Elephas maximus indicus: one gene and its partners. The protein of the gene in region 1 binds, or shares a complex with, the protein of each later gene. Links are inferred from orthologs where the notes say so. Each region holds a gene or a part of one and is shown in the gene's direction. Other genes may lie near its edges.

What was found. The genes of interacting proteins can lie anywhere in the genome.
Region 2: EID3 (region 1) and NSMCE3 share a complex: the UniProt entries of both Homo sapiens proteins name them as parts of the SMC5-SMC6 complex. The link is inferred for Elephas maximus indicus from reciprocal best matches to the Homo sapiens genes EID3 and NSMCE3.
Region 3: EID3 (region 1) and NSMCE1 share a complex: the UniProt entries of both Homo sapiens proteins name them as parts of the SMC5-SMC6 complex. The link is inferred for Elephas maximus indicus from reciprocal best matches to the Homo sapiens genes EID3 and NSMCE1.

What each region holds. Positions count from the first base shown.
Region 1 is NC_064822.1:170,974,618-170,986,254, forward strand, and holds the start of EID3 (EP300-interacting inhibitor of differentiation 3), read left to right. Parts: upstream 1-6,766; 5' UTR 6,767-11,637. UniProt on the Homo sapiens protein: Tissue-specific component of the SMC5-SMC6 complex, a complex involved in repair of DNA double-strand breaks by homologous recombination.
Region 2 is NC_064831.1:94,935,790-94,945,676, forward strand, and holds NSMCE3 (non-structural maintenance of chromosomes element 3 homolog), read left to right. Parts: upstream 1-5,077; 5' UTR 5,078-5,199; coding exon 5,200-6,087; 3' UTR 6,088-6,680; downstream 6,681-9,887. UniProt on the Homo sapiens protein: Component of the SMC5-SMC6 complex, a complex involved in repair of DNA double-strand breaks by homologous recombination. The complex may promote sister chromatid homologous recombination by recruiting the SMC1-SMC3 cohesin complex to double-strand breaks.
Region 3 is NC_064830.1:87,665,828-87,676,727, reverse strand, and holds the start of NSMCE1 (non-structural maintenance of chromosomes element 1 homolog), read left to right. Parts: upstream 1-5,193; 5' UTR 5,194-5,268; intron 5,269-5,278; exon of another isoform or gene 5,279-5,342; intron 5,343-10,900. UniProt on the Homo sapiens protein: RING-type zinc finger-containing E3 ubiquitin ligase that assembles with melanoma antigen protein (MAGE) to catalyze the direct transfer of ubiquitin from E2 ubiquitin-conjugating enzyme to a specific substrate.

The sequences.
Region 1 (11,637 bases):
ACCATTTTACAGGGAACAATGAAATGGAGTGGTAACTGCAGGGTAGGGGGGCATGGAGTCATAGTATTATGTGGATGGCTAGGTTCAAAAAGAGTAGGGGCCTTGCCATGTCAGTACAGTTGAGGAGTTTGGACTTTATCTTGAGCGCCTATGAGGATACATCAAATTCCACTTCTCTAACAGGAGCTATGTTGATCAATGCAGTGTATTCCACTTCTGTTTTGACACCAGCAGCAATGCAGTACTTCTTCCTCTAACCCTAACCATCTGGAGTTAGGTCAGACCTCACAAGGTAAAGGGCACAATCTTTCAGACTGCCAGGTCTGCCCAAGACCTCAGATGCCAGTTGCAAGCTTGGGAGTCCAGCCAACACACTCACTTCTGACCTGTGGCTATAAATGTGGGTAGTTCCCTTTACCCAGCTGTAAGCCTGGCGGTCCCTAGCCTCACTTCTGACCTACTGGCTACTTCTACTCCCTCGGGTTTGATAATTTGCTGGAATGATTCAACAGAACTCACGGAAAGCAGTACACTTATGATTACGGTTTTATTACAGCAAAAAGGATACAACTCAGGACCAATATAAAGAAGAGACACATAGGACAAGGTATGGGAGGATTCCCATCATGAAGCTTCCGTGTCCCAAAGGACGGGCTACCCTCCCATGTGCAACCAGAAAGCCTGTGAAGCTTCTGTGCCCAGAGCCTTTCTTGGGGTCTCATTACGTAGGCATGATTGATTAATCATGCCCCAACCCTCCCTAGTTGATGTCACTCACTGGTTTTTTTGAGCTGCCTAGGCCCCACCCAGAAGGCATTTAATTAGCGTAAACCCTCAGGTGTAGTCTGGATGCTTCATAAAAGATAATCAATGGAGAATTTTCAAGGTTTTAGAGGTTATCTCTTAGAAACCTAGGACAAAGACCAAATTCTTTGGGTAAAGTTAATGTAAACCCCACAGGCCTTAGAAAGCTCTGAACCCTAGCTAGGTTTAAGCAGAGAAAATTTGGGTGTCAGGAAGATTGTTTCAGCTCAGTGATGCGTGTGTGTGCGCACGCGCATGTGTGAGAGAGAGGCTTATTATAGGTGGAATAGTAGTTTAATGCAATACGACTTGCTCAAACACCTGCATAGTTCTGTTTATAAGTGTGTGTAGATGACAACTCAAGTACAAAGAGTCTTTTTTTCAGCATTTTCTGAGTACCTACTATATACTAGGTTCTGAGGTGACAAGATAAATACAACAAGGTGTTTGCTTTCCTAAAGCTCTCATGGATTTAGAAGATTTGTAATTATTATTAGGTACTTGGGAAATCCTCGTGGCATAGTGGTTAAGTGCTATAGCTGCTAACCAAAAGTTCAGCAGTTTGAATCCACCAGGTGCTCCTTGGAGACTCTATGGGGCAGTTCTACTCTGTCCTAAAGGGTTGCTAGGAGTCGGAATTGACTCGACTGCAATGGTTTTTTTGTGTGTGTGTGGACATAGAAGAAGAAAGGATTGATTAACAGTAGATGGTAATCAGGGAAGCCCTTGAAAAGGAGGTGACATTTTAGATGAGCTTTGATGGAGTAGGCCCTTAGGGAGGGAAGATAATTTTGGGCTGGGAGGGGGTAAAATGAGCACAGTTAGGAGATGTGAGAATGTATGACTAGAACAAATGCTGCATAATAAAAAATAGTTGAGGATGAAGCTCTTTTTCCATTAACCAGCAACTAATAGAACTACTGAGCTCTACTCTATATTTCGTGACAAGGGTAAGACACTTGGGTCTCCTTAACAGCAGCAAGAATGGTTTGAAGAAGCGAAGAATGTGTTTTAAAATGGTGATTCTTTTTTAATTTAATTTTTTTCTTTGTTAGAATAAATGCATGAGCTGCTCTGACGGTTTTTGCTATTTAATTTGCTCACTGAAGAACAATGTGAAGTTAAAAAGCCTTATTTAGCTTTTTTTTGGTATGCTATTAAAAAAAAGAAAATATTAACCATAGCAACCCTGACTTGTCTGTGCCTACAAGGTGCTGTCTGTGGAAAGGCTTTTTGAAATCAGTCCTTATCACTTCCTTTAGTACATCATTTCAAATTAAATGATTTTAAAATCCCTTTTTCCTCAGACATGCTTTTGAAATAAGCTGTAGTTCCTATATATACTTTTAGAGTGAGGCGTTTATGACTCTGGTTCATCGGTTATTGTGTAGACAAAATAAGACATAAAAAATGGTTAACACAAGGTTGGCACAGCAGCCAGGAATAAATAAATGTCAGTGTTCTCCCTTAGCCTCAGCTTTCCTTTCATCACATTTTTCATTTTTTATTCCTTAAATCACCTTGTAATGTCTATGTGCTAGATAAAAAAAAAAAAAATTTTTTTTTTTTTTTTTAGATCCATCCTCTGTTCTAAGGACGCAGAATGAGGTGAAGCACTCAAGTTGTTGTTGTCAGGTACTATCGAGTCAGTTCCGACTCATAGTGACCCTATGCACAACAGAACGAAACACTGCCCGGTCCTGCCCCATCCTCACAGTTGTTGCTATGCCTGAGCCCATTGTTGCAGCCATTGTGTCAATCCATCTTGTTGAGGGTCTTCCTCTTTTTCGCTGACCCTCTGCTTTACCAAGCATGATGCCCTTCCCCGGGGACTGATCCCTCCTGACAACACATCCAAAGTATGTGAGACCTAGTCTCGCCATCCTTGTTTCCAAGGAACATCCTGGTTGTATTTCTTCCAAGACAGATTTGTTTGTTCTTTTCACAGTCCATGGTATATTCAATATTCTTCTTCCACACCACAATTCAAAGGCATCAATTATTCTTTGGTCTTCCTTATTCATTGTCCAGCTTTTGCATGCATACGATGCTATTGAAAACACCTTGGCTTGTGTCAGGCACACCTTAGTCCTCAAGGTGACATCTTTGCTTTGTAACACTTTAAAGAGATCTCTTGCAGCTGATTTCCCCAATGCAATGCATTTTTTGATTTCTTGACTACTGCTTCCATGGGTGTTGATTGTAGGTCCAAGTAAAATGAAATCCTTGACAACTTCAATCCTTTCTCCATTTATCATGATGTCGCTTATTGGTCCACCTGTGAGGATTTTTGTTTGCTTCATGCTGAGTTGCAATACATGCTGAAGGCTGTGGTCTTTAATCTTCATCGGTAAGTTCTTCAAGTCTTCACTTTCAGCAAGGAAGGTTGTGTCATTTGCATAATGCAGGTTGTTAATAAGTCTTCCTCCAATCCTGACGCCCCGTTCTTCTTCATATAGTCCAGCTTCTCGGATTATGTGCTCAGCACACAGATTGAACAGGTGTGGTGAAAGGATATGACCCTGACGCACACCTTTCCTGACCTTCAACCATGCAGCATCCCCTTGTTCTGTTCGAACAACTGCCTCTTGATCCAGGTACAGATTCCTCATGAGCACGATTAAGTTTTCCAGAATTCCCATTCTCCACAATGTTATCCATAATTTGTTATGACCCACATAGTCAAATTCCTTTGCACAGTCAATAAAACACAGGTAAACATCTTTCTGGTATTGTCTGCTTTCAGCCAGGATCCATCTGACATCAGCAATGATATCCCTGGTTCCACATCCTCTTCTAAATCCGGCTTGAATTTCTGGCAGTTCCCCTTCTACGTACTGCCACAGCCACTTTTGAATGATCTTCAGCAAAATTTTGCTTGCCTGTGATATTAATGATATTATTTGATAATTTTTGCATTCGGTTGGATCACCCTTCTTGGGAATAGGCATAAATATCGATCTCTTCCAGTCAGTTGGCCAGGTAGCTGTCTTGATTAACTCAAGTTATTACCCACCAATTTAGCTTGCAGCGTGTGCCTGTGTGTAAGGAACCCTGGTGGTGTAGTGGTTAAAATAATAGAAACCACCAAAGGCTCTCTGGGAGAAAGATGTGGCAGTCTGTCTCCATAAAGATTTACAGTATTGGAAACCCTATGGGGTCGCTATGAATCAGAATTGACTCCATGGCAGTAGGCTTGAGCTTGGTGTGCCTGTGCATGCATTCAGAAGGCCATTCAGAAGGCTATCGGCTAACCCAAGCATCCAACTTGAGCCTTAGAAGGGGCTCAAAGGAGTTGGCTATGGTTCAGAGGTGTGGCTTCTGACAGCCCTAAGGGCCCAACAACCTTCTCACCTGAGTGTGCTTGAGTACAGCATTTTCCAAAGAAGTAGGAAAGACATTTATTCATTCATTCATTTAACAAATATTGGTAGCCGCTTACTAGTGTGAGGTGCTGAGTAAGAATGCCAGCAGGACCAAGGAAGTATTAGAGAGCATGGCTCACTTCCGCAGCTGCAGGTGGCTTGGCATGGCTGGAGTTAAATCTATTCTCAGTTTTTGTTGAGGCAAACAAGAGAAACCAAAACCTGAGAGGGAAAAGGAGGAAGTAGTCCAAAGGTAATTTGTGTGTTGGTGAGAATTTGTCACTTCAGAATTAGTCAGAACGGCCTAGACATTTCTTTCAAAAGCCTTATAACTTCCTTTAGGGAATTGCCAAACTGACTAATCCATTACTTTAACACAATGAGTCCCAAACTTTACTGCTCAATAGAATCACCTGAGAAGCTTTAAAAAACACTGATGCCCAGGCCACACCCCATACCAATTACATCAGAAGGCCTGGGGGGGTGGGAGCTAGGCTTCAGTACTTTTTAAAGACCCCCACGTGATCATTAACCGGCAGCAAAATTGTGGAGCTACTGCCTTAGGGCATAATCCAGTTTTGTTCAGTTAAACACACACACACACTCTTGTGTTGGTTCAGGTTCCAAGCATTTCTTAAATTGTTTTTGCTGTCTTCCTGCGTTGGGGGCGGCTGTGAGCAGGAAGAGGATATGGTGTCACCCAGTTAGGAGATGCCACTTTGCTAAACCGATTAGACTAGCTTGCCAACGCTGCACGAGAAGTGGATTTTTGCTTTGTCATTCTGACTTTGGCTGCTAACACTCCGACTCAGGGAAGGGCGTGGCTTCTCGTAGCTATTAGAAACCACCAACCCTTTCACCTCAGCTCGCCTCAGTCCGGCATGTGCCTCGGAGTCTAAGGTGGCCCTTCTGAGGAAGAGCCTGACGTCCGACTGCTCGAACATAGTAAGCTCTGCGGTGATTGAAAACGGACAAAGCGCTAGGCCTGTAGCCTGTGAGCACGTTGGAGACTGTTTGCTTGCAGGGAGTGTGAGCTTTGTGCCTGTGCGGTGCATTATGATTCCAGGGAAAGGGGAGATATTTTAAGGCGGGTCCCAAAAGTGGGATGAGGCTTTTCTAAGGCAGGTGAGCTTCTTGGCAGCGTTCAGAGATGAGTTTCATCTTGGTCAGTTAACGCTTCAGCATATGGTAGGGGAGGCTGGCACTCTGTCGGCTGATGATTTCCTTCCTCTAGCTCTTGTTTGCAGAATATCAGAGAAAATGGGTTTTTGTATAATTTCTTAGTACACGACTCTTGAAATGTAGATAATAATCCGATGAATAGATTGACAGATCCTGGACAGCATTAAGAAAGTGTAAATGTGTAAGAATGCCTTCCCAAGGAAGTTTTACATCATTTAATCATCAGAAATTTTGAGAGGTTGGCAAAGCATATGTAATCGCCATGTTTTTACAGGTGGGGGAAAGCAAGGCTCAGAAAGTTCAAGTGAGTTGCCCAGTTTGACAGAGATTATGAAGTGCGGCAGCTACTGGACTCCAGTGTTTATTATCTCGGTGTATCAGGCAGTACTGGGTAGTGGTTCGGAGCATAAACCTGAGCCACACTCCCTGGGTTTGCGTTCTGGTTTTGCTGTTCCCTAACTAGCTTTGTGTTCTTGGTTATGTTACATAGCTTTTCTGTGTTTCAGTTAACGTATCTGTGAAATGGACCTGGGGCTTGATAATACCTACTTCAAAAGGCTAGTTGTAAAGATTAAATGTTTAATACATACAAAGCATTATGGAAGCGTTAGCTGCTATTGTCATTATTGTTAACGCTAAACAAATGTACGTTTGAGTGTTGATTTTGTCTCATGAATGGCCCTGACATCGTTGTAACTGAATTGTTTTTAATTCTATCACTGACTCATTCTCTGCCTCAGTTCACCCTTTGTAAAACTGAATTATTAGTTCTGGTCTTATCTAGAATTTTGATGCGGTGCTTCGAAGTTCTTAAGTAAAAGCACCCTAAATGGGCAGTGTTGGTAATTTTGCTTCGTGGTTTCAAATTTCTAGAAAACATTGGAAGCTGGATTTTGGCATTCTATATAGGTGCAGAGTTCAAAGCCCAATTAAATGGGGAAGCGTTTTGTGAAAGCTGAGAAAATTTTGTCTTAAATTCTTGCTGGAAAAACGGGACGGTTAATTTTAGCAGAGACTTGCTATGATTTAACTGACGTTTCTATCTAGCCTTGAGGCCATGTTTTCAGTTAATACAGAGATTGTCCAGGTCCAAAATCCAAATCTGACTAGGCTTTAGTCATGGTCAGAAATGGAGCAAGTCATGCTAACTTGCAGGGGAGTCACCGCCGCCTTTCCAGAGGGCACACAGTGCACTGGAAGGCCCCGGGCCCCGGAAGCTCCGCCCCTCCACAGTTCCCGCCTCGGTCGGCTGTAAGAAAGACCTTACAGACTCCACTGTCTGCTTTTTTTGTGCTACAGAGGACGGGCTGGTCCTGGAAGGAGCGCTCTCGGCATTGACCTTGGAAACCAAAGTGCCCGTGGTGTTTGTGAAACAGAGAAAGATAGGCGGCCATGATCAGACCTTGAAGGTAGGAGATACTGACGTTTCTTTTACCCGCCTTAACTAGGAATGAGCTCAGCGAGCCCATTGTGGCAGCTTCCTGTTAAAGGCAGTGTTCTGTGAATGAACCTGAAAACGGAGCCCATCCTTAGAAAATGACAAAGAAACACTTGTGGGATAACTAACATTGTTAGTTCACATTGATCAGACGATGGGTAAATTTAAAGACGGGAAGCTTGAAACGGGAATATGTAACAATTTTCATATTTTAAAATAAATTAAAAAAATTGCCTCTCCCCCTGCCTCCCTCCCAGTCAGTCTAAATAACTTAAAAAATTTTAGCGGCTGTGTAAACTTTTGATTTTGCGTCTTTTAGGGAAGTACTGTGAAAAGGGAGTCAGGAAATTCTTATTCTCCTCAAGTCACCCCTGTCTCTTCCTCTTTAGTTCCCCGGGGTGGGGGCGGGGGCGGGGGGGGGGGCCAGAAACCCCCAGGCTTCACTGAAGAAAGCAACCAGAAAACTCCTGGGGTGAGTATATATCTTTTCAGAAATCTCTTTTTTTTTTAGCCCAGAGCTAACAATTGGGTGGAGGAAAAAAAAAAAGGGAACAAGAAATCTTCCTTTTGGTTCTTGACAGGATGGGACACCCTCCGCCCCTTATGACCAGCCACTGACCGCTGGAAAAATGCATGGAAGCTAAATGCATGTTTAAGGCTAGATGTATGAGTGATGTTCTACTGGTTATCATTTTAGAAAGTTCTAGTCCTCATCCATTTGTAGCTGTGTAGTTTTTAAGAAATGGAACTGATACATGAACATTGTCTACTTAGCAGTAAACCCGAGGCCTGATTTGAATGAAAGAATGTGTTTAGGTGTGTGTGCCTTTAAGAAATTATTAACAATTTATATTTTTATGTATTACCTTTTCTTGCTTCTGAAAGAATCTCATTTAACTTTTTAAGAATGGGTGTAGGGAATGGAGCTAGACTTCAAAGACAGCAAGTGAATGGGAAATAATTAAAGGAGATAAGAAGACTTTTAACTTTGTTTGAAATACATTGTTACTCAGACCTTTAGTTTGCAAGTAAAATGAGACAAGTCTATTAATACTCCTTTCTGTCAGATTATTCTATTCTATCCACCTGTGTCATAAACTTATGCTTAAAAGTTACATAGGCATTTGGTCTTTATATAATTCTACAGATGCTCCTGGTTTTAACATCAATGGGAGTAAAAAGAATCACCATTTTTATAAGCTTTGGGACCCACTTTATTAACATGATTTGATGTTTTCAGTTCCATATGATCATAGTTAATTTCAGATCCTTAATGAGGTGCAATACCATGAATGAAAAGCATACCACCAAGGCATACTTAAAACAAAAATCATTTAGCACATCCCTTTTAAGTAAATTTACTACTCTACTATGTATCATTTGATTTATTTTTGTTTTTTGATGAGTGCTAAGAAATGGAACAAGAGACACAACAGGGGTAAGGACTATCAATTTGAAGTTTGCGGATTTCCAGCCAGTTATTATCCACATTCGGTGATAAATCTTTAGGGAGCTTTGGGTTTGAGTGGAGAAGTGTATTTAATTAGTGGAGAGTGAGTACTTATAGAAGTTGTGTCCTAATCTTAAAGTTCATACCTTTAAGTTAAGACTTCATACTTTACTTGCTGCTTAATCAAGTAATGGTGAGGGAGTCTTTAGAATATCCTTTTTGCCTTTCTCCTTTTAATATTGTTCCTTCCCTTCATGTCCATTTCCCTCTTCTTCTCAATAAATAACAACAGCAAAACCTACCTTGCTTTCACAGTGCACTACTGTAGAAGAGGGAGAGAGAATCCCAAAGGCAGGATCTGGTGAGCCTAGATGACTACCTAAAGGATAAAGACTTTAAAGAAGTGTGTTTAAAAAAAAGTGTAGAATCCCCTGGAGTGCTTTTTAAATGTGTATACCTTTTTTTTTTTATACCTGAGCTTTACCTGTGTTCTTCTTGAATAGACCCTCTTTATTTTCTTTTCAAAAAACTCCCTCAGATAATTCTTAAGAATATCAAATTTGAGGCTGCTTTAGAGGAGTTTGGTCAAGATCAGTTGATAAAATAATTAGAATTGGAGAAAACAAAGATAGTAGTTTGAAAACCATTGTTGTCGAGTTGATTCTGACTCATAGTGACCCTATAGGACAGAGTAGAACTGCCCCATGGAGTTTCCAAGGAGCGGTAGAAGATTGGAACTGCCAAACTTCTGATTAGCAGCCATAGCTCTTAACTGTGGCACCACCATGGCAAATGGTAACTCAACAGGGGTGTAACGCTTCACACCTGCTTAGAAAAATAGAGAAATGTGTTACCTAAGGGCCAGGGCTTGTATGTCCATGCGTAAAATTAGAACTGGGGAGCTGCTAAATGCTAGAACCTATGAATAGAGTTCCTATTGCTCAAAGACATCTGACTTTTATAAACATCTTAGTTTTTAAGCCCAAGATTACAAGCATTCTTATAGGGAGTCTCATACGTAGATCAGTATCTTCAGAATTCCAGATTTCGAAACCACTCATATAAGTGACCATTGGTGGTGTTGAACTGAATGAAAAAGTCCTTGTTGGAATATTAAGTGCCAGACAGAGTTAAGACTTAGTAGTTTAAGGTAACTTGTCTCAAAACTGCCTTAAAACTAGTAGCACAATTTAGATAATTTCTTTAAGGCAGTAATAGAGATGACAGATACAACACAGTGGGTGATTAACATCCAAATGAATTGTGCAGGCAGTCGGAGTAGGAGCTCAGATGTGATCATATTGTAGTCGGGTTCAGCGGTGTGACGTTCCAGCCTAGGGAGGTAGATACTGAACAAAAGGTAGATCTCCTTTCAAGTCTGGCTTCTAAAGTTACTAGAAACCAGACTGTTAATGAATAGACATCAGAAATAAGTGGTATTTGAATAACTTTCCAGCCACTCCACTCAGTACTGTACCAAACTTCCAGAAAACTTGATTTCCTTTGATTCTTTGAGGTAATTCCATTTCCGTGGTGGAGGATTAGTAGTGTATCTGCTTTTGGCCTGGTTTAGGGTTGAGACCTAAAGGAGAAGATAAAGGAAATAAACAGGCTCCTTGGGTGGTGCAAATGGTTAACTAACGCAGCTGCTAAGCAAAAGGTTGGAGGTTTGAGTGTACCCAGAGGTGCCTCAGAAGAAAGGCCTAGCAATCTACTTCTGAAAAACCAGCCATTGAAGACTGTGTGGAGCACAGTTCTGCTCTGACACACAGGGGCCACCATGAGTTGGAATCGACTCGAGGGCAACTGGAGGTGGTGGTGGTAGTGAAGGCTTACCTTAATAAGAATTTGGAACTTTTGGGGATAAGGACTACAAACAAGATTTAAAAGAGGAAGTGGATTGTTAGGAATGTGAATAAATTTATCTGGTACACAGAATAGTAAAATTTTACTGGTTGAATCCATGTTGAAATCCACGTTGAACTCTATTCATAGAGCCAGCATTTAGCAGCTCTGCAGTTTCGATTTTACACGTGGACATACAGGTCCTGGCCATAGGTAGCATATTTCTCTGTTCTTCTATGCAGGTATAAAGTGTTACACCCCTATCAAGTACTCGCTTCTTCCACTTCTACCAAGTGACAACACAGACCTCTTTGCTGTGTAGCGTTATTATTCTTACATGGTTGGGGCTTCACATTTGATCTTGCCTTTCCTCTTTGTTCACTTACCAGGACTCAACTATTTCCCACACATCTGCGAGTTGCCTCTATTAACTTTTGCCCAGACAATTTCAGGGCCTCATTTCCTCTTGCCTAAACTATTTCAGCAGTCTCTAACTGGCCTCCTGCTTCTGATCTCCCTCCCTTTCTGTTCCCTTTGCTGCCAGAGTCATCTTCCTGATGGCTGTTTCACTGCCCCTCGATCCCATCCAGGATAGAGTGTACATTCCTTCGCTTGGTATTCTGTACCCTCCAGGGTCTGGCCCCAGCCTGCTTTTCTGGTTATCTCCTCTGCTCCCTCATTTACTGGAGGCTCCTGGGAAGGCTGACTGTTGCAGCTATACTCCCTAAAATTTTCCTCCTTTATTCTGTTCTTTATTTCAATTCTTGACTTATTTTTCTGCCCAAATCTACTTTTTCAGCTGCTCCTGTTCAGGGTACGAGGTCAGGTTTGGCCACTCCTTGCCTCCTCTGTTCTTTCACAGCTTTCCCAGAAATTCCTTATCTCTGGAAAAGGAGGAATCCTGCCAGGGATAATTTTTTGGCTTCCATGTCAGAGGATAGTCAGAACTGACTCAACGACAGTGGGTTTGGTTTTTGGTTTTTTTATGTCAGAGATGCAGAGCTAGTCTTAATCTTTGTGTCTATTAAAAAAAAAACCCCATTGCCGTCGAGTCAATCCCAACTCAGCAACCCTATAGGACAGAGTAGAACTGCCTCATGGTTCCCGAGGAGCACCTGGTGCGTTTGAACTGCCAACCTTTTGGTTAGCAGCCGAGCTCTTAACCACTGTGCCACCAGGCTCCTATTAATGATAGTAGCTAACTTGTATTGAATGCCTTTTATGTGCTAGACTCTAAATGCTGTAATACTTAGTTGAGGTGGTATTATCTAGTTTTACAGATAAGAAAGTGGAGGCCCATGAGAAGTTAAGCAGCATGCCCAGAATTACACAGCCAGTTAGGTGGCAGAGCCAAGATTGGAACCCAGACCTGTATGCGTGTAGAGCTCACACTGGTGTACTCAGACTTCTGGCACTCAGCTTTGGTACTGCTTTGAGGATACATACCTGACCTCCCTGATAAGAATGTATGCCTATGATTCAGGGCTGAGCCCATGTCAACCCTGGTATTCCTAGCTCAGTGTTGGCATGTAGTAGGCATTCATCACTAGCTG
Region 2 (9,887 bases), on another chromosome or scaffold:
CTTGATGCCTGTTACCCCTTCTTTTCCTCCAGTTTCTCCCATTTGTAATGGAAATGTCTAGCTTGAGCCTGTTTTGCCATTGTACTTGGGAAGCAGATAACTTATATTCTAGATTTCACAGATGAAGAGGAATTTTTGGATTTTGGACTTGGAGTTAAGACTTTTGCTATGATATAATGGAGTTAATATGTTTTACATGCGGGGTTCTTGCACAGAGAAGCTCCTGGTCCAGGGGATGATTAATGACAAGGACCTTCCTCTAGAGCCGACAGAGAAGGCCTTCCCTTGGAGCTGAGGCCCTGAATTCGGACTTCTAGCCTATTAAGACTGTAAGAGAATAGATTTCTCTTTGTTAAAGCCATCTACTTGTGGTATTTCTACTATAGCAGCACTAGATAACTAAGACAGTTATCAAGGGTACAAAAAGACACGAAGGAAACTTAAATGCATATTGCTAAAAGAAGCCAGTCTGAAAAAGCTACGTACAGTATGACTCTAATTATATGATATTCTGGAAAAGGCAAAACGAAAGAGACAGATCAATGGTTGCCAGGAGTTGGGGGGTGAGGGGTAGAGGAGAGATGAACAGGAGGACCACAGGGCATTTTTAGGGCAGTGAAACTATTTATATGATACTGTAATGGGGGACACATGACATGATGCATTTGTCTAAACCTATAGGACTATACAACACAAAGAGTGAAACTTGATAACTATGGACTTTAGTTAATAATAATGTGTCAATATTGGTTAATCAGTTCTAAAAATTGTACCACAGGAATGGAAGATGTTAATAATAAGAGAAACTGCAGGGCAGGAAGGGTGTATGAGGGAACGCTGTTCTTTCTGCACACTTTCTCCATAAACTTAAAAAAGTATGCTTAAAAAAAAAAACACTATGTGCTAGATGTTCTCCTCAAAACAACCTTGTGTGCTAAATATCATCTCGTCATATAGATGATGTCAGTATTAAAAAAACAATAACAGGTTTAAAATAGCCCCACACACACAAAAAAGAAAGTCTAAGAAGAGGCTTCCAACCAAATGGCTGTAGTGCTTGGAAATGCCCTGTCTCATCAAAATCCACCTCCCCACGCCTTCCACCAGACAAGGAATGCACTGTTGCTGCTTAATTAAAATATTCTTCCAAGAGGGATAAATATTAGGTAGTCTATCATGTGGTCTAATCCAGGAAGATCTTTGTTAGGACCCAGTAGATACAATCAAGAGAGATTTTATTGCCAACCATTAAAATATACGCATGGGAGAGGGGGCCTGGAGGCCCTAGGTAGTGCAGACAGTTAAGTGCTCATTTACTAGCCGAAAACTTGGCAGTTCTAACCCACCCAGAGGTGCCACGGAAGACAGGCCTGGGTGATCTACTTAGGAAAGGTCACAGCCTTGAAAACCTTATAGAGCAGTTCTATGCTGCATACACGGGGTTGCCATGAGTGGAATTGACTAGATGGCTTCTAACAACAACAACAGTAATAGTATGAAGGCCAGAAGCATGGAGCGTTTGAGTATTTTTTAACACTTGTCTTTATATTTCACTGCCTGAACAGGAAACCACAAACGCCCTATCAGATCACCCTGAAGGTACATGACTGGTATGCCATGATGTCACTGGGAAGTTAAGCTTCATTAAAAATATATTTCTCATTTATCTCCCAAGCAAAAAAATCACGATTGAATTTTATTTTTAAAATAACTTTAACAGCACCTTGATATACACATCTGTGTTCTTCCAGACGTTTTTCTGATTTGCGTTTCACTGCAGTAGACATCTTTCTATGTACAGTATTGTGCAGTCATCAAATATTTCCCTTAACATGACTCCCAGAAGGGAGCCAATCATTACAGACAACTCTGCCAGGGCCTGTGAGAGGTGCTTCAAAAACCCATTTCACTTAATGACCTGAACCCAGCATTATTACTCTCATTTGGTTGACATGGAAGCTGAAACTTGGGGTGTCCGTAGCCTTCCAGTGTCATACAGGCTTTTAATCTAGGTCCATCTGATTCCAAAACCTTAACTTTTTCAACGACATCATGTCTATATTCTCTCTACATCAACATATGGTTCATAAGATCAGTCTCTGGAGGCAGACATCCTAATCCTAAGTTCAGATCCCACATCTACCGCTTATTTGCTGTGCGACCTTAAGACAGTGCTGAATCTTCTCTGTGCCTCAGTTTCTTCATCTGAGTGAAGAGGAAGGTAACAAATGCAGACCTCATTGGGTTGTGGAGATTAAAAGAATACACGTAAATCACCTGGAACAGGGTTTGACCGTATTATACCTTTTTACAATCATTAGTTATCGTCATGTACATTACTGTGTTTTCATTGCCATCATCACCACCACAGTCTCTCCCCAAATACCCATGGCCTTCAGTAATTATCTGAGGTGAGGTGAGGATGTCTTCTCTCTGCAGTGCCTGAAATCCTATTTTGTCACCTGCATTTTTCTGGAATGCAGCCCTGATGATGAAGTGGTTAAGCGCTTGGCTGCTGAAAGGTCACTGGTTTATACCCACCAGGCACTCTGCAGAACAAAGATAAGACAGTCTGTTTCCATAAAGATTAAACCAAAAAACCAAACCAAACCCACTGCCATCAAGTCGATTCCGACTCATAGTGACCTTATAGGACAGTGTAGAACTGCCCCATGGGGTTTCTATAAAGATTACAGCCTTGGAAACTCTATGTGGCAGTTCTGCTCTGTCCCATAAAAAAAAAAAAAAAAAGTTGGAATTGCCTCGATGGCAATGGTTTTGGTCTTGGTATTTTTCTGGAAGAAGGGTAGAGGTGTTTTAAGACTTAGAAGTAGTGTCTTTTCTCAGCCATTCTGAGCAATGACCATGTGCTATCTGAGGAAGAGGTCACTGAAGGGCAGTGCTAATGTTCACAGAGTCATGGGGGAGCCTGAGAGCTGGGGCTGCTTGGGAATTTAAACGAATACCTTATCAAGAACAAACTCCGAAGAGCTAGCCCAGCTGTCGACAGTGGCTTTCATCTTTTTATTTTCCATTTCTCCTTTATCTTTTGGTTGCTGAAATTTTTTACTCAGGATACAGCTGATCCTTGTGGAGAGACATTCTGTAGAATTCTAGATTATAGGAGACTCCTTTGAACTTGAGTCTGAATTTTAATTTGCAAAGAAACTTTGAAGCAGATGCATTTTCTCATTGTAAAAAAAAAAAAAAAAAAGACTGCTTGATGATCTGTTTTTCTTAGTAGGCGTCCCTCCCTAAGATTGATTCTTGGGGATATGTTGCTGGATCTTGTGTGGAACAGAAAGTTATTACTAGTAGCTTACCAGACTTGTAGCATATTTGCATCACAACGTGGAATATCATTTTACATTTAGTATTGCAATTCCAATGCCTTTATCAGATTGCATTTTCATATTGGATTACAAAAATTTCATACTACTAACATTTAATGAAATTTTAATAAGGTGGTGTTTTGATATTATTATTCAAATAGTCTGTTCTGAATTGCTTTCCTTTGAATATATCTGCATTAAAGAGGAACTCAACGTGATTTGGTTCTTCACAGAATTTACCCACTTTGTAGAGTAGCTTTAAAAACGCCAAAAGGGAAATTCAGTTTCTTCCTCACAAGTCCATAAATAAAGAAGGAACACACTGCTAAGATCTATATAAGTAATGGGGGCATAATTGCTGGTTCAAGTTAATGAAATGGCTCTTTTTTGGCTATTAAAGAGTTGCACAATTAAAATATATACACACAGCACACACATCATAGATTATGAGGGATGATACCCCTGGGTTCTCTTTTCTTTCTCATTGAGCCTGAAGGCTGATATATTTATTTTTCAGAAATTTAAGAGATTTACATTATCGCATTTCTTGATCAGTGATGCCCAAAATTAAATGGTAATCTCCAGACAGAGTATGTTTCTCCGTAGTATCCTTCTTACCCATTTCTGCTAAAATTGTCCTTGCGGTCCCAAGGCAGTTTACATGAACGTGTGCCTTCCAAAAGATAAACTCAGCTGACCAAGCAAAAAAATTGCACTGAACAGGTTTTGTGTAGTGGTTTTGTCATAATTGTCTAGCTGACGTAATTTAACATAGAGAACACTGAAAGAGAGAAAAGAAGGAAAAATTCCTACTTTCGAGGAAACCCTTCTTTTACCGAACACTTGTTCTTAATCGACTCTTAGGGACATTAGAGAAGGAAACTAGCGGTAATAGTTCAACAGAAGCCGTCACCCTGGAGTTGATTCCAACTCTTAGCGACCCTATAGGACAGAGAACAGCCCCATGGGGTTTCCAAGGAGCGGCTGGTGGATTCCAACCGCCGGTAACCCACTGCCATCGAGTCGATTCCGACTCAGAGGAGGGAGTGGCGAGGTCAGAGCCTCCCTGAGGCAAATCAGAAGCCCTCAGGCTCGCTCACTCTTTTTGCGCCTCCCTGTAGAAATACATGTCTTTCCTCTACCTTTCACCGAGCCCTGGTGGCGCAGTGGCAAAGCGCTCGGCTGCTAACCAGAGATGGGCGGTTGGAATGCAGCAGCCGCTTCTCTGAAACCCTATAGGGCAGTTCTACTCTGTTCTGTAGGGTCGCTATGAGGCAGAATGGGCAGGGTCTCAGCGGGTTTGGTTGCCTTTCACGGCCTTACCTTCCCCTTCACCTCGATTTTCGCCTACATTGATCCTTTGGGTTCCCTCCTTTCACAAATATTCCCGACTTTAAAGTTCTTAATTTTTCTAGAGAGCCTGTTAAATTTGCCTGGACCTGTTTGGTCCTGAATTCAGCAGCACACTTGTTTAGGACTTTCGGTCCTGTTCTCTATTTGTGTTGTTCGGTAAGGACGGACAACAAGTTTAAGTCTAGTAACCGCCACCGCTCCCGCCCGCAGACAGCCCGCGGCTGCGCAGAAACCGCCGCCGCCGGCCCGCGGACGTCCGGGACGCAGTGCGCAGACTCCGCCGACTCGACGCAGCGCTCCGCCCCCGGACCCGCCCACCGGCGCAGGGCTCCGCCCCGGGCCCGCCCACCGACGCAGCGCTCCGCCCTCGGCCCCGCCCAGTCTCGCCCCGAGGCGGATAACGCCGACCCACAATGCCCCGCGCACGCGCGCTGGGATCCCGCCGCCGCCGGTCGCTGGAGCTTTGCTAGCGGCCAGTGTCCGAGCCGGCGTCCGGCCTCAGTAGCCAGATAGCATGTTGCAGAAGTCGAGGGTCCGGGGACGCCCTGGGGCCCCGACGGAGCGGGAGCGGGAGGGCGGCCGCGGCGGAGACAGCCGGCGCCCGCGGGGCGGCGCGGCCGACGAGGCCCCGAGCACCTCCCGCGGGCCGGGCGGCTCGCAGGAGGCCCCCGGCACCGGGTCCCCGGGCGCCCGCTCGGCCCTGGCCGCCCCCGCCGTGGGGCCCAGGTCCCAGAAGCAGCTGGAGGTGAAGGTGGCCGAGCTGGTGCAGTTCTTGCTGATTAAGGACCAGAAGAAGATGCCGGTCAAGCGGACCGAGCTCCTGAGACACGTCGTGGGGGACTACAAGGACGTCTTCCCCGACCTGCTCAGGCTCGCCGCCCAGCGCCTCGAGTACGTCTTCGGGTACAGGCTGGTGGAGCTGGAGCCCAAGAGCAGCACGTACGTCCTGGTCAACACCCTGGAGCCGGTGGAGGAGGACGCGGAGGTGAGAGGGGACCAGGGCACGCCCGGCGCCGGCCTGCTGATGATCGTCTTGGGGCTCATCTTCATGAGGGGCCACACCATCAAGGAGACGGAGGTCTGGGACTTCCTGCGGCGCCTAGGGGTGCACCCCACCAAGAGGCATTCGGTGTTCGGGGACCCGAAGAAGCTCATCACCGAGGACTTTGTGCGCCAGCGTTACCTGGAGTACCGACGGTTACCCCACACTGATCCTGTGGACTATGAATTGCAGTGGGGCCCGCGCACCAACCTGGAAACTACCAAGATGAAAGTCCTTAAGTTTGTGGCCAAAATCCATAACCAAGACCCCAAGGACTGGCCCGTGCAGTACTGTGAGGCTTTGGCAGACGAGGCGGCCAGGGCCAGACCTCAGCCCGGTGTCCCAGCCCCCTCCTCGTGAAGTCCCAGGTAGACTCAGAGGGACTCCTGGGAGGAGGATCCGAGGCCGAAGAGGTGGGGGTGGGAAATAGTTCTGTGACGCTTGACTAGCTTGCGAAGATGTGTTCGTGTTTATTTTGCTAAATTACTTGGTTCCAAATCTACATGTGTAAGGAATTGCTTTGCTTTGTTGTATAGTCTATATTTTTTTGATATAAGAAAATGTTACTACTTCGTAAAACTGATCGTAACATTTCGTGCCCTGTTCTGAAACATATGTAAGAAAAAACACATCAGTAAATTGCTTTGGTGCCAAGTAAAAAACCACAGAGGTATTCTCTGGCCTCTTTACCCCAGTTTGAAGGGAAAAATAAAAAGTCATTATAAATTAAAGTGTAATTGCCTGTATTGTTGTTACCTTAACACAGTCATTGTATTTTTATATGTTTTACGTATTTAAGCATTTTTGGTGGTTCCAAGGAATATATCTTCAGTATTTTCTCTGAAAATATTTATCTTTCTGTATAATATTCATAGTAATTATCTAGCTGGGTTGCTGACAGTTAAGTTCCACTTAGATTTTATCCTTTTTTTCTTTTTCGCTATTACTGTTACTGTAATAAACACTATTTTTGAAGCAGTTAAGCAGTGTGTGTTTTTTTAATCATGTGTCGTGAGAAATTCATTTTGGCTGGAAACCAGCATCTTAAATAGAAATGAAAAAGACAGTTTGTGCTACATACAGTAACATGAGTAGAGTTTTACAGACCTTTCACTTTAATGTGTGTAAATGTGCATCACACTTTTCACTGTGGGTCACAGAAGACTTTGTGAAACTGTAGTGATTGACCAGGCCTGACCAGGAATCAGCCTGCTTGGGTTCAAATCCTGGCCCCCACCTCTAACTAACTGTAAAAGCTTAGATGGGTTACTTAACCTGGGTATAGGTGTTTCCTCACCTGTAAAATGAGGCTGATGTTGGATATATCATGTGTGATAATTAGATGTGACACACTGCCTGCCGTGGAGGATTTTGGCTGTTATTCCTTAAATTTTTTGAAAATTTGTGTTTTGTTCTTGGTCTGGAGCTGTGGTGGTGCAGTGGTTAAGAGCTCAGCTGCTAAGCAAAGTTGGTAGTTCGAATCCACCAGCCCATCCTCGGAAGCCCTAAGGGGCAGTTCTACCCTGTCCTGTGAGGTTGCTATGAGTTGGAATCCACTCCACAGCAAAGGGTTTGGGAGCTGTTTTTGTTCATTTTTAATTATCTCGGTCTAAGTCATTACTAGAAATGAAATTACTGATTTAAAGGTTATGACCCTACTAGTCTGACCCCATCTTGGGGTTTTATGGCAAACCAAACAGGTGGCACAGGGTAGGGTCAGTGATGAGCACAGCCAACATAGTGGTAAGAGCAGGAACATTACACGCAAGGTCTCCCCAGGGCTGTGAGGCATCGTCGTCTAGAGAAAAGGTTATGCATTTCAAGGTTGTCTGACAACCTGAGTTTGAATTCTAGCTCATTTTAACTTGTCAGCATGGTGGTTTGGGTAGGTTTTAAGCTCTCAGAATCTCAGATTCTTTATCTGTAAAATGGGGAAAATAAAGTGAAACCGGTGAGAGCTGAACTTGATGGGACTGCCTTGTTTTTCCAGGTCTCACAAGTTTTCCACCTTTGACAGTGTAGCTTACCGCTTTTCTCTTGCTCTCTATTAGTGGAAAATACTTGAGTTTTCCTTTTCTGGCAGGTTTCCACGTTACGTGGGTTCCAGCTTTCACAAGTTTTACTGCATATCATGGTGTGTTTTATGAATTAAATGAAATAGTATATTTAAAGTACCTATTTTTTTTTTAATAAGTTAGAGCTCAGTGAATGCTCTAAGAGTTGATTAAAATGTGACTTGATCATTAACATAGTGGTCTTGGACATTGTAAACTCAGAATTTTAGAGCTAGAAAGGATTTTAGAAATCATGTAGCCCAGCCATCTCTTGACACATGTGAAAACTGAAGCCAGAGGACACACATGGAATTAGGAGTAAACTAGGTCAAGGACTCAAATTTGAATCCCTGTTCAGTGCAATCTATTTAGGCTCTGTCTTGGTCATCTAGTGCTGCTGTAACAGAAATGCCACAAGTGGATGGCTTTAACAAAGAGAAATTTATTCTCTCACAGTCTAGTAGGTTACAAGTCCAAATTCAGGGTGTCAGCTCCAGGGGAAGGCCTTCTCTCTTTGTTGGCTCCGGGGGAAGGTCCGTGTCCTCCATCTTCCCCTGGTCGAGGAGCTTCTCAGGCCAGGACTCCGTATCCAAAGGACGCGCTTTGCTCCTGGTGCTGCTTTCTTGGTGGTATGTGGTCCCCAACCCTCTGCTTGCTTCCATTTCCTTGCATCTCTTGAGAGAGAGAAAAGGTGGTGCAGGCCACACCCCAGGGAAACTCCCTTTACCTTGGATCCAGGGAGGTGATCTGAGTAAGGGTGGTGTTACAATCTCACCCAAATCCTTTCAAGGTAAAATTACAATCACAAAATGGAGGACAGCCACAGAATACTGGGAATCATGGCCTAACCAAGTTGATACACATATTTTTGGGGGACACAATTCAATCCATGACGGGGTCTTTTCACAACAAGGAATAGAGTTTTACTAAGTCACCTCAAGCATTAAAACCAAAACCAAGCCCATTGCCATTGAGTCAATTCCAACTCATAGCAACCAGATAGGACAGAGTAGAACTGCCTCATAAGGTTTCCAAGGAGTGGCTGGTGGATTTGAACTGCCAACCTTTGGGTTAGCAGCTGAGCTCTTAACCACTGTGCCACCAGGGCTCAAAAAACGGACCTAGGAAAATCTTAACAGGCTGGCTTTGAGTCTGTAAGTTATTTTGGAATATAAATTACCTTCTGGCCAAGCACCTGCCTGCTGGTCCTTTCCTCACTGGCTGCCTTTTCCTCCAGGTGTGCTCTAGTACTCCCATTTTCACCTGTCTGGTACAATCATCATTACCTACCATCCAGTGGCAGTTATATCCAGGGCAACTGTCTTCTACACTTTTCTCATAGAAATGTCCACAATTTACCGTCAATGAATGACCATTTATTTCAGATTGTAAAATACAAAACATCACGGGCCAAATCAGGCCCTGTGTCTTTTCCTTCTTAACCGTTCTCAGAGGTAGAAGCTCCTCGCTGTCATGCCATCGTCTAGTGTCTTACTGCACAGGTGGATATACATAAACATAATGTGACTTTGTGAGCTTTTACAAGTAACGTAAGTGGTGTTATACTGTACATACCCATTTGTGACTTGCATTCGTCAGTAAACATTACGTTGTTGAGATTTAGCCACGTGGATAGATCCAACTCTGATCCATTCATTTTAATGGTTCTTTAATGGGGGCGGGGGGTTGGGGGGAACAGTTTGTCTTTTCCCTAGTGGCTAGACAGGTTCTTTTCAATTTCTTGCTATTCGCAGGCAGTGTGATCTCCTTAGTCACATGTGTGAGAATTTCTCCTGCCAGAAAATATTGAGCACTCATGGGGCTTTGCCAGATTGCTCCCCAGCTGGTATTAAGTTACACTCCCACCAACATTGTTGTTGTTAGGTTCCGTTGCATCACTTCTGACTCATAGCAACTCTATAGGACAGAAGAGAACTGCCCCATAAGGTTTCCAAGGAGCACCTGGTGGATTTGAACCACTAGACCTTTTTGGCACAGTAGCCAAGCTCTTAACCACTATGCTACCAAGGTTCCTCTAACATTGTATGGAGTCCTTTTTATGCCTGCTTCCGCGTCTTGTGAACACTTTTTTTTTCTTTCAGTATC
Region 3 (10,900 bases), on another chromosome or scaffold:
ATAGGAAAAAGGATATAAATGAAGAGATGCCTACAGCAAGGTCTGGGAGGGTTCGCAACAAGAAGCTTCCGTGTCCCCAAAAACATGAGATACCCCCCCATTCACATCCATGTCTTTCACCAACCAGGAAGCCTAGGGGGTTTCTGTGTCCAGAGACTTCACTGGGGTTTCATTATACAGTCATGATTTATTGGCAATCATGCTCCCCCACCTCCCATATCATTTGTTGTCTTTCTGGACCAGCCAGCCCCCACCTGAGTCACCTTATTAGCGTAAACCCTAAGCTGTGGTCTAGAAGCCTCATCAAAGACACTTCAGTCACTGGGGAAGTTCCAAGGTTTTATTTAAAATTGTATTTTAGATGAAGATTTACAGAGAAAATTAGTTTCTCATTAAACAATTAATACACATATTGTTTTGTGACGTTGGTTGCCCCACCATGACATGTCAACACTCTCCCCTTCTTGACCCTGGGTTCCTGGTTACCAGTTTTCTTGTCCCCACCTGCCTTCTTGTCCTTGCCCCTGAGCTGGTGTGCCCATTTAGTCTCATTTTGTTTTATGGGCCTGTCTAATCTTTGGCTGAAGGGTGAACCTCAGGAGTGACTTCATTACTGAGCTATAAGGGTATTCGGGGCCATATTCTCGGGGTTTCTCAAGTCTCTGTCAGACCAGTAAGTCTGGTAAAACCCAGTGCCATTTAGTCTGGTAGGATGACATTTAACCAAGACATGGATAGACTCAACTTTTGTAATAGAGATGGACCTAATGTTTTAATTTTGCTGTTTTGGTTTTGGTACCAAGATTAAGGCTAGCCTCATAGAGTGTGGCTCTCTTTATCTTGTTCATATTCAGGTGTAGTCTGCGTAGGATAGCCTTTTTAAAACCGTCTGGGCCTGGGCACTTTGGGAGTTGGAGTAGATCTACATCATTTAAATTTTATTTATGATTATTGGTATACTTATTTTTAGGCCACGTTTTATAATTTGTATTCTTCTTGAAAATTGCCCCATTCATGTAGATTTTCCAATGTATTGGCATAAAAGTGTTCTTATGATTTCTAAAATTTTTACTGTTGTGCCCTTTTCACTGTTTATAATATTACTCATTCGTATCATTTTCTTGATCAATCTTACCAGAAATTTGCCTATTTTATTAGTCTTTAACTGAACACCAGCTTTTGGTTTCCAGAATTAACTCTTTTTTGTTTTCTATTTTACTCATTTCTGCTTTTATCTTTATTGTTACTTCCTTCCTTCTGCTTTCTCTGGGTTAATTTAGTTATTTTTCTACCTCCTAAATTAGCTGCTTTAAATTTTGTTTTCTTGTATTGCAATAAGTACACTTAAGGCTATAAATTCCCCCTCTAATTACTGCTTTTGCAGTACCCAGCAAGCTTTGATGTCAGGCTTTTATTGTCAATTCATATCTAAATACAGTAATTTCCATATTGGTTTTCTTTTTGATCCAAATGTATTTTTCAGTTTCTAAATGTATATTCTTTTTCTTTTAAAAAATGTATTATAAAATCAACATACAAAAAGTATAAAAATTAATATAATGAACACCTGTGTAACACTCAGGTACACATCACCCAGCTTAATAAGACTTAAATGTTCATTTATAATTTTTAATCTTATTTTTCATAGGTAAAGTATGTATGTACGTACATGGTTAAAAAAAATTTATCCCATCTCTATGTCTCCTTCTTAGAAGCAACTGCATTTACTTATTTCAGTCATCTATGTGTTGTATAGGTTTCTCTGGTTGCTGACTTTTAATTTCACTGCGCTGTGGTTAGTGAATGTGGTCTGTAGATTCTTTGGAATTCATCAAGACTTCCTTTGTGGCCAGGTACATAGTCAATTTCTGTAATTGTTCCAAGTATATTTGAGAAGAACGGATATACATAAGATCTTTTTCTGAAATACAAATCTGATCCCATCACTTCACCTCCAATAGCATCTATGCTCTTCAGGTGAAAGACCACAACCTCCTTAGCACACGGTTTGGCCTGAAGCTTCCCTAAGGCCTTGGTCATCTCCCTCGTACTCAACAACTTTACGTACGTGTAAAAAAAAAAAAAATGTAACTCTCTAAAATCTCATACCTTTTAGGGGCAGCTTTCAGAAGAATTTTGAACTATCAGAGATGCCCTGCAGCAGACAACCCAATGTCTGGCACAACCAAGGTCCTAATCGATGCTCATTGAACCAACTAGAGAATGGGTTGTCTAATTAGTGTAAAGTCATACTGAGGCTGGATACTCACCTTGTGTGGATCATTCCCTCACCCTGAACTCCAATTCTTGCTCTCTATTTATTCCTCTTGAACCTGATCCATTCATTGAGACCTCTGGTAACTATACTCCTTCTCTTTCTTCTATTTGTCAGCACTTTCCCTCCTTCCTCTCTGTGTCTCCTCTACCATGGTGGATCATTTCAAAGATACTCCCACCAACACACTCGAGTTATTCTGCCTTCTAGAGTCCGTTACTTATGCCCTAAGCCTCTGATACTTTTCAGTCTTGCACAGTGGTGTCACTTGGGGGGTAAGGACCACACTGGGTGACACTGTCAGAGGGGGTGACACCAAAATGACTGTCTATAAAAATACCTTATAGTTAGTTGTAACAACAAAAACAGTTTTCATAAGCTCAGCTCACATGCATCGGCTAAAACTATGCTAATTTACCTTTGAACCTTCTAATGTGCCCAGTTAGAGGTGTCATTATTACCCAATCACAATGACTCCTGGAATCATGTGGCTTCCTCTGCATGTCTTACAAGCACGTGCTGTTGTTTTCGTAGCTGCTGGTTGTTTTTACTGTTGCTGATTTTGTCAAATTTTCTGGTGTTTTAGCTATAATATTTGGTAAGTAGGATTTGTGAACCTATATCAATAATCTTTTTGTGAATGAAGTAGTAATTAAAGGTAAAGAAGGAGTGACATACAGGGATTATGATTTACCAGTAACATTATACAAAAACATTACTGAAGATTCTTTATGGTCTGATATGGGAGAAAGTCCATGGCGGGGGGTGACACTAACCCTAGCGACACCGCTGGTCTTGCAACCCTTTCTTCTCTTTCTACCCCTTTCTTGGCTCTTTGACCATGAAATTTTGGAATTCCCAGTGTTATTTATTCTTGGTCGTCAACTTTTCTCTCTCTACACATCAGGAAAGCCCCTGCTTCATTACAAAAAGAGTCTCTATCAAGGCTAAACAAGTGCTGTCATGGAAGAACACTGGCCCTGTGTTGCCAGACTTCCCTGTTTTTCATGAATTGTCAGATATTTCAGGGTTTTATGTGGATGCCTCAACCTTTAAATATTGATAATGAATTGAAAAGTTTACAACACACTGTGAAGGACAAGCAAAACATAGATGTTGCATCCTGAGGGCTGTTTTCTTCTCTTATTTGACTGCCCCTAAAACAGTTTAACCCACAGTTTATGAAGTACTTTATCAGTAATGGTAGCTTACACTTATCAAGGTCTTACTGTGTTCTAGGCAATCTTCGAAGTGGCTTGTGTGTACAAACTCATTCAATATTCGCAACAACACTGTCAACAAGGTGCTGTTATCTCTACTTTATAGATGAGCAAACTGGTTGAGAGTTTGAGTACTTTGTCCTGAATCTCAGAAATAGTGAGTTGAAGAGTTCAAGATTTAACTACTACTGTCTACTGCTTTTCCCCATTCAACAGATGAGGAAACTGAGGCCTAGAAAGGTAAAAGCAATTAAACTTAGGCACTTGACTAAAGTAAAATGGCTGCTTTAGATTTTGGGGCCCTACATTATCTTCCCTTCGTTTTACTATATATAGTTTTACAAGAGGTTATCAAGACTCTTCCTGAAACAATTTCTCGAGAAGAAGACCTTAATGCTGACTCTTATCTAGGTCTCCTAGGCAACTGCTGACAAGAAAAATTTCACGTGAACAATCTGTTTCTAAGAGAGAAATGTCCTGTAGCCTTCCTCCTTCTGGCCCCACTTCCAGTAACCTGACTTGCATTAATCTAAGTTTGTGATGTTCAATCAAAATAGTACAGCTCATGTCTTTTGTTCTGACCCTTTAAAAGGTCTTCACAGCTTTGTTATTTTGGAAGTATTTGTTCTGTCTGTAAAATTAGGTGTTTTCTCTAGTCGAACCTACAAAAAATTTCCTTGCTTTATTTTAACAGAATAAGCATTTGTAGGGATCTGAATCTAGCCTCACTGAGATAGATACTTGCATTTACTACTGTTCTATAATAGTTACCTCTTTCTCTTGCTAGGAGTTCTGGTGGTGCAGTGGTTAAGAGCTATGGCTGCTAACCAAAAGGCCAGCAGTTCAGGTTCACCAATGGCTCCTTGGAAGCCCTATGGGGCAGTTCTGCTTTGTCCTAAAGGGTTGCTATGAGTCAGACTCGACAAAAGCAATGGATTTTCCCCCAGCTACACTGCATCCTCAGCCCTCAGACTAGGGACTGGCGTACAAACTTTTGTAAAATAAGTGCCCTGGAAATTCAAAGCAATTCATTCACTTCCATTAACCACCTCATTTACTCCTCACAACATTCCCTAGGTAAGATATTAAAAAAAAAAAAAAGATATTAGAGAATATTTAATCAGCACTTGATATTCATTATCTTTTTTAAACGTCATGAAACTATGTCCTAGGAACGGTTACTATCTCCATCTAATGGAAGAAAAAACAGTCTCAGAGAGGTTCAGTGACTTGCCCAAAATCCTACAACTAATAAGTGACAGAGCCAGTTCAGGTTACATGACGACGGAGCCCTCATTCCTTTCCACGAGGCCACACTGTCAGTTCTACAGATGGGGAAACTGAGGCCCAGGTCAGGGTACTAGCTATGCTCGCAGAACCCTGGCCATCGAGGGGGAGCACAGACTGCACTCCCGCTCTTCCTTTCCTTCGGTCGAGCGGGGCCCCTGCGGTGCGGGAGGCAGAGGACGACAAATGCGAAATCCTTTCCCATAAAAGACACCAACAGAAGTGCGGGAAGTCGCGCAAGGCTCCGACCTCGGCGCGCGCATCACTGAGGCCCAGTGGTGACCTAACGGACAGAGCCCGAAGTACCATGACAACGGGGCGGGCGGGAGCACAGGAAGTGCGTCACCCAAAAGGAGGGAAGAATCGGCTGGCGGAGACCAATGGGAGCGCAGCGTTCGCGTTCGCCCCGCCTTGAAGGAGGTCCCGAGTCGACCTGTCGGCCATCTCCGCCTTCACAGTCTACGCTGGGCTCGAGTGTCGTATTTGGTAATCCGGGAAGGGGGACTGGAGGCTGGCGCGAAAGGAAGAGGGATGTCTGGAAAGGCGAGGGGATATGTGAGGTGGGGTTCGGCGAGACAGGAAGTGGGGGTCAGGCTCTGCGTCGACCATGTGCGGTGATGGAGTGTGGCGCTCTGGAGGAGGGCTTGGGGCTTCTTATTTACTGATGGGGAAACTGAGGTCCCGAGAGGGGGAGCAGAGGCAAGTAGACGGGGGTCTAGCCTCATTAGCACACACACATACACCTACAAATTTTTGCATCGTCATATCCGGTGAAGAAAATATTGTTAATCGTAATATTAAGTGAAAAAAACAAAATTACAAACTTTTAACCGCGATTACATCCTTCGCTGACCACCCTCTCGGGTAATCTCGCGGTCCTCTGTGCACCCCTCAATTTTGTGTACAGTACTCCTTACTTAGTACAAGTCCACAGTCCCTTATTTTAAATCCCCGAGGTAAGACGTGTTCAGAATACAGGATTTCTCGGATTTTAGAAAGGTAATATTGTTGTGTTGTTGAATATGGTGAGTATATTGTGTTATGCCATACCCTCAGCGGGGTCTGGGGCAGCGTCCTGAAATCAAATACATTAATATTTCCATATTAAAATATGTGCATATTTACACTACCGGGGTAAATAACAATCATAAATAGCCTCAACGAAAGTCAGCTCAGATTTAAAACCTTTTTTTTTTTTAATTTTGGCTTTCAGATCTTTTGAAATTTAGGAATTGCAGATGAGGGACGTGGATCATAATTTTATTGTCCCACTCGTTTTTCTTGCTTGCCTGGACTGGGATTGCCTTGAGAACAGGAACTGTGGTTTTGTATCCCCACTGTCACTAACTCCTTGTGTCACTTTGTGTCCCTCTCAGCCTCAGTTTCCTCATCCTTTTCACATAAGGTCCTTGTAAGGATTAAATGAGACTATTCATGAAGCATTAGCTCTCTTGTCGAGCACATACCACAAATGTTTGTGACTCAGATGTGCTTATTCTACAAACATTTCTATTTTAAAATGATCTGATGTTTTTTGGTGAACAGAGGTTCTTAATTTTAATGAAGTTGAATTTATCAGTCTATTCCTTTACAGTTTGTGCTTCTTCTGTATCTTTCAAAGAAATTCACCCTACCCTTGGGTAAAAAACCCTCACAACTAGACCAATAAGCAACATCATGATAAATGGAGTAAATAATTGAAGTTGTCAAAGATTTCGTTTTACTTGGATCCACAATCAACGCCCATGGAAGCAACAGTAGAGAAATCAGATGACGTGTCACATTGGGCAAATCTGCTGCAAAAGACCTCTATATAGTGTTAAACTGCAAAGATGTCACCTTCAAGACTAAGGTGTACTTGACCCAAGCCATGGTATTTTCACTTGCCTCATATGCATGCAAAAGCTGGACAATGAATAAGGAAGACCGAAGAAGAATCGATGCATTTGAATTGTGGTATTTGGCGAAGAATATTGAATATACTGCCAGAAGAATGAACAAATCTGTCTTAGAAGAAGTATATCCAGAATGCTCCTTAGAAGTGAGGATGAAGAGTCTTCGTCACACATACTTTGGACATGTTATCAGGAGGTACCAGTCCCTGGAGAAGGATATCATGCTTGGTTAAGTAGGGAGTCAGTGAAAAAGAGGAAGACCCTCAACGAGATGGATTGACACAGTGGCTCCAATAACGGGCTCAAACATAGCAACAATTGCCAGGATGGTGAGGAACCAGGCAGTGTTTTGTTTTGTTGTACATGGGGTAGCTATAAGTTGGAACTGACTCAAAGGCACCTAACAACAAACAACGCTTAGGTTGGTCATAAAGATATTCTCCTTTATTGTAATCCAAAAACTTTATACCTTTCTTAATTTTAGGACCTTAATCCTCCAAGAACTGATATTTTGAATAGTGTGAAGCAGGGGTCTAATTTCATTTTTTTCCCCTACATATGGATAATTAGTTATCCCAGCACCTTTTGTTGAGAAGTTTGCTTTCATTTGGAGTTCCATTTCTTTAACATCAAGTATGGATATGTTTATATTTTTCTGTTTCTGAGTTCTCTATTCTGCTCCATTGGTCTTATTTGTCTATCCCTGTTTACCATCACCACACTTTATTTATTACTCTTGAAATAAATCTAACATCTAGTAGGACAAGTCCTCCTGCCTTTTCTCTCCAGGAGTTTCTTGGCTCTCTTTGCCTTTACATTTCCATCTTGTCAAATCGCATGTTGTTGTTAGGTGCCATCGAGCTGGTTCTGACTCATTGTGACCCTGTGTACCACAGAATAAAACACTGTCTGGTCCTGCACCATCCTCACAATTGTTGTTATGCTTGAGCCCGTTGTTGCAGCCACTGTGTCAGTCCATCTCGTTGATGGCCTTCCTCGTTTCTGCTGACCTTCTATTTTACCAAGCATGATGTCCTTCTCCAGGGACTAGTCCCTCCTGACACCATGTCCAAAATATGTAAGATGTAGTCTCGCCATCCTTCCTTCTAAGAAGCATTCTGGTTGTAATTCTTCCAAGACAGATTTGTTCGTTCTTTTTGGCAGTCCATCGTGTATTATGTATTCTTCGCCAACACCACAATTCAAAGGCGTCAATTGCTCCTCGGTCTTCCTTATTCATTGTCCAGCTTTCGCATGTATATGATGCAATTGAAGACACCATGGCTTGGGTCAGGTGCACCTTAATCTTCAAGGTGACATCTTTGCTTTTCAACACTTTGAAGAGGTCTTTTGCAGCAGATTTGCTCAATGCAGTGCGTCTTGATTTCTTGACTACTGCTTCTGTGGGTGTCGATTATGGATCCAAGTAAAATGAAATTCTTGACAATTTCAATCTTTTCTCCATTTACCGTAAAGTTGCTTATTGCTCCAGTTGTGAGGATTTTTGTTTTCTTTATGTTGAGTTGTAATCCGTACCGAAGGCTGTGGTCTTTGATCTTCATCAGTAAGTGCTTCAAGTCCTCTTCACTTTCAGCAAGCAAGGTTGTGTCATCTGCATAACGCAGGTTGTTGATGAATCTTTCTCCAATCCCGATGCCCCGTTCTTCTTCATCTAGTCCAGCTTCTCGGATTATTTGCTTGGTATACGGTTGGAGTAGGTATGTTGAAAGAATACAACCCTGAGGCACACCTTTCCTGACTTTAAACCACTCAGTATGCCCTCGTTCTGTCCGAACAACCGCCTCTTGATCTATGTACAGGCTCCTCATGAGCACAATTAAGTGTTCTGGAATTCCCGTTCTTTGCAGTGTTACCCATAATTTGTTATGATTCACACAGTCGAATGCCTTTGCATAATCAATAAAACACAGGTAAACATCCTTCTGGCATTCTCTGCTTTCAGCCAGGATCCATCTGACATCAGCAATGATATCCCTGGTTCCACATCCTCTTCTGAATCCGGCCTGAGTTTCTGGCAGTTCCTGTGGATGTACTGCTGCAGCCACTTTTGAATGATCTTCAGCAAAATTTTGCTTGTGTGTGATATTAATGATATTGTTGGATAATTTCCACATTTGGTTGGGTCATCTTTCTTGGGAATAGCCATAAATAGGGATCTCTTCCAATTGGTTGGCCAGGTAACTGTCTTCCAAATTTCTTGGCATAGACGAGTGAGCACTTACAGTGCTGCATCTGTTTGTTGAAACATCTCACTTGATATTCCATCAATTCCTGGAGCCTTGTTTTTCGCCAGTGCCTTCAGAGCAGATTGGACATCTTTCTTCAGTACCATCGGTTCCTGATCATATGCTACCTCTTGAAACGGTTGAAAGTCAACTAATTCTTTTTGTTGTAATGACTCTGTGTATTCCTTCCATCTTATTTTGATGCTTTCTGCATCATTTAATATTTTTTCCATAGAATTCTTCACCATTGCAACTTGGGGTTTGAGTTTTTTCTTCAGTTCTTTCTGCTTGAGAAATACTGAGTGTGTTCTTCCCTTTTGGTTTTCTGTCTCCAGCTCTTTGCACATGTCATTGTAATACTTTGTCTTCTTGAGCCACCCTTTGAAATCTTCTGTTCAGTTCTTTTACTTCGTCATTTCTTCCTTTTGCTTTAGCTGCTTGACGTTCTAGAGCAAGTTTCAGAGTCTCTTCTGATATCCATCTTGGTCTGTTCTTTCTTTCCTGTGTTTTCAATGACCTCTTGCTTTTTTTCATGTATAATGTCCTTGATATCATTCCACAACTTGTCTGGTCTTCGGTTATTAGTGTCCTGCGTGCCAAATCTATTCTTGAGATGGTCTCTAAATTCAGATGGGATATACTCAAGGTCATTCTTTGGCTCTCCTGGACTTGTTGTAATTTTCTTCAGTTTCGGTTTGAACTTGCATATGAGCAATTGATGATCTGTTCCACAGTCAGCCACTGGCCTTGTTCTGACTGATGATATTGAACTTTTCCATTGTCTCTTTCCACAGACATAGTTGATTTGATTCCTGTGTATTCCATCTGGTGAGGTCCATGTGTATAGTCACCGTTTATGTTGGTGAAAAAAGGTATTTGCAATGAAGAAGTCATTGGTCTTGCAAAATTCTATCATGTGATCACAGGCATTGTTTCTATCACCAAGGCTATAGTTTCCAACTACCAGTCCTTCTCCTTGGTTTCCAACTTTTGCATTCCAATCAAGTCCAGACACATAAAAAGCCTGTTGGAATTTTGATTGGAAATGCATTGACTCTTGGATCAATTAGGATTTTAAAGTGATTACTTTTAACGTTTCACCATTAAGTATTATGTTCACTGTAGGCCTTTTGTAAACATCAGTTAGTAGATAATGGAAATTCCTTCTATTCCAACTTTACAAAGGATAAATGTTTGCATGAATAAACGGTGAATTTTGTTAAATGTATTTCTGCATCATACTATTTGTTAATATGGTGACTCACATTGATGAATTAAAAAAAATACTGTGTTTTCAGTGAATGTTTACACAGCAGTTTATGTTCCCATTCAACAATTTTTACACAAAGTGCTCAGTGACGTTGGTTACATTCTTCGCAGGGGGTGAACATTCTCATGGTTTCTATTCTGGTTGTTCTGTTGCTATTAATGTAGTTTCCCCACCTCCTTACACTCTCATATTTGTTTAAAAGTGGTTGTTAACTGCTTGGTCTCGTAGATTTTTCACATGAATCAATTTTTGAATGTTAAACCAATCCTGGCATCGTTGGGATAAATCCAACTTGGTCATGGTATGTCATTATTTTTATATTGCTGGGTTTGGTTTGTTCTCATTTGGCTTAGGACTATTAAGGGTCACTATGAGTCGGAATCATCTGACAGCAATGGGTTTGGGTTTTTTTTTTACAACTGTATTCATGGAAAATAATCCATTGCCATCAAGTCGATTCCAACTCATAGCAACACTGTGGGGCAGAGTAGAATTGCAGAAAGGCTGTAGTCTTTACTGAAGCAGACTTCCACATCTTTCTTCCCTGGAGTGGCTAGTTGGTTCGAACTGCCAACCTTTCTGTTAGCAGCTGAGCTAACCACGGTGCCACCAGGACTCCATTCATGAAAGATACCCTGTAGTTTTCCTTTCTCTTAAAATGTTTGTCAGCTTTTAGTGCCCAAGTTATTCCAGCTTTATCAGATGAG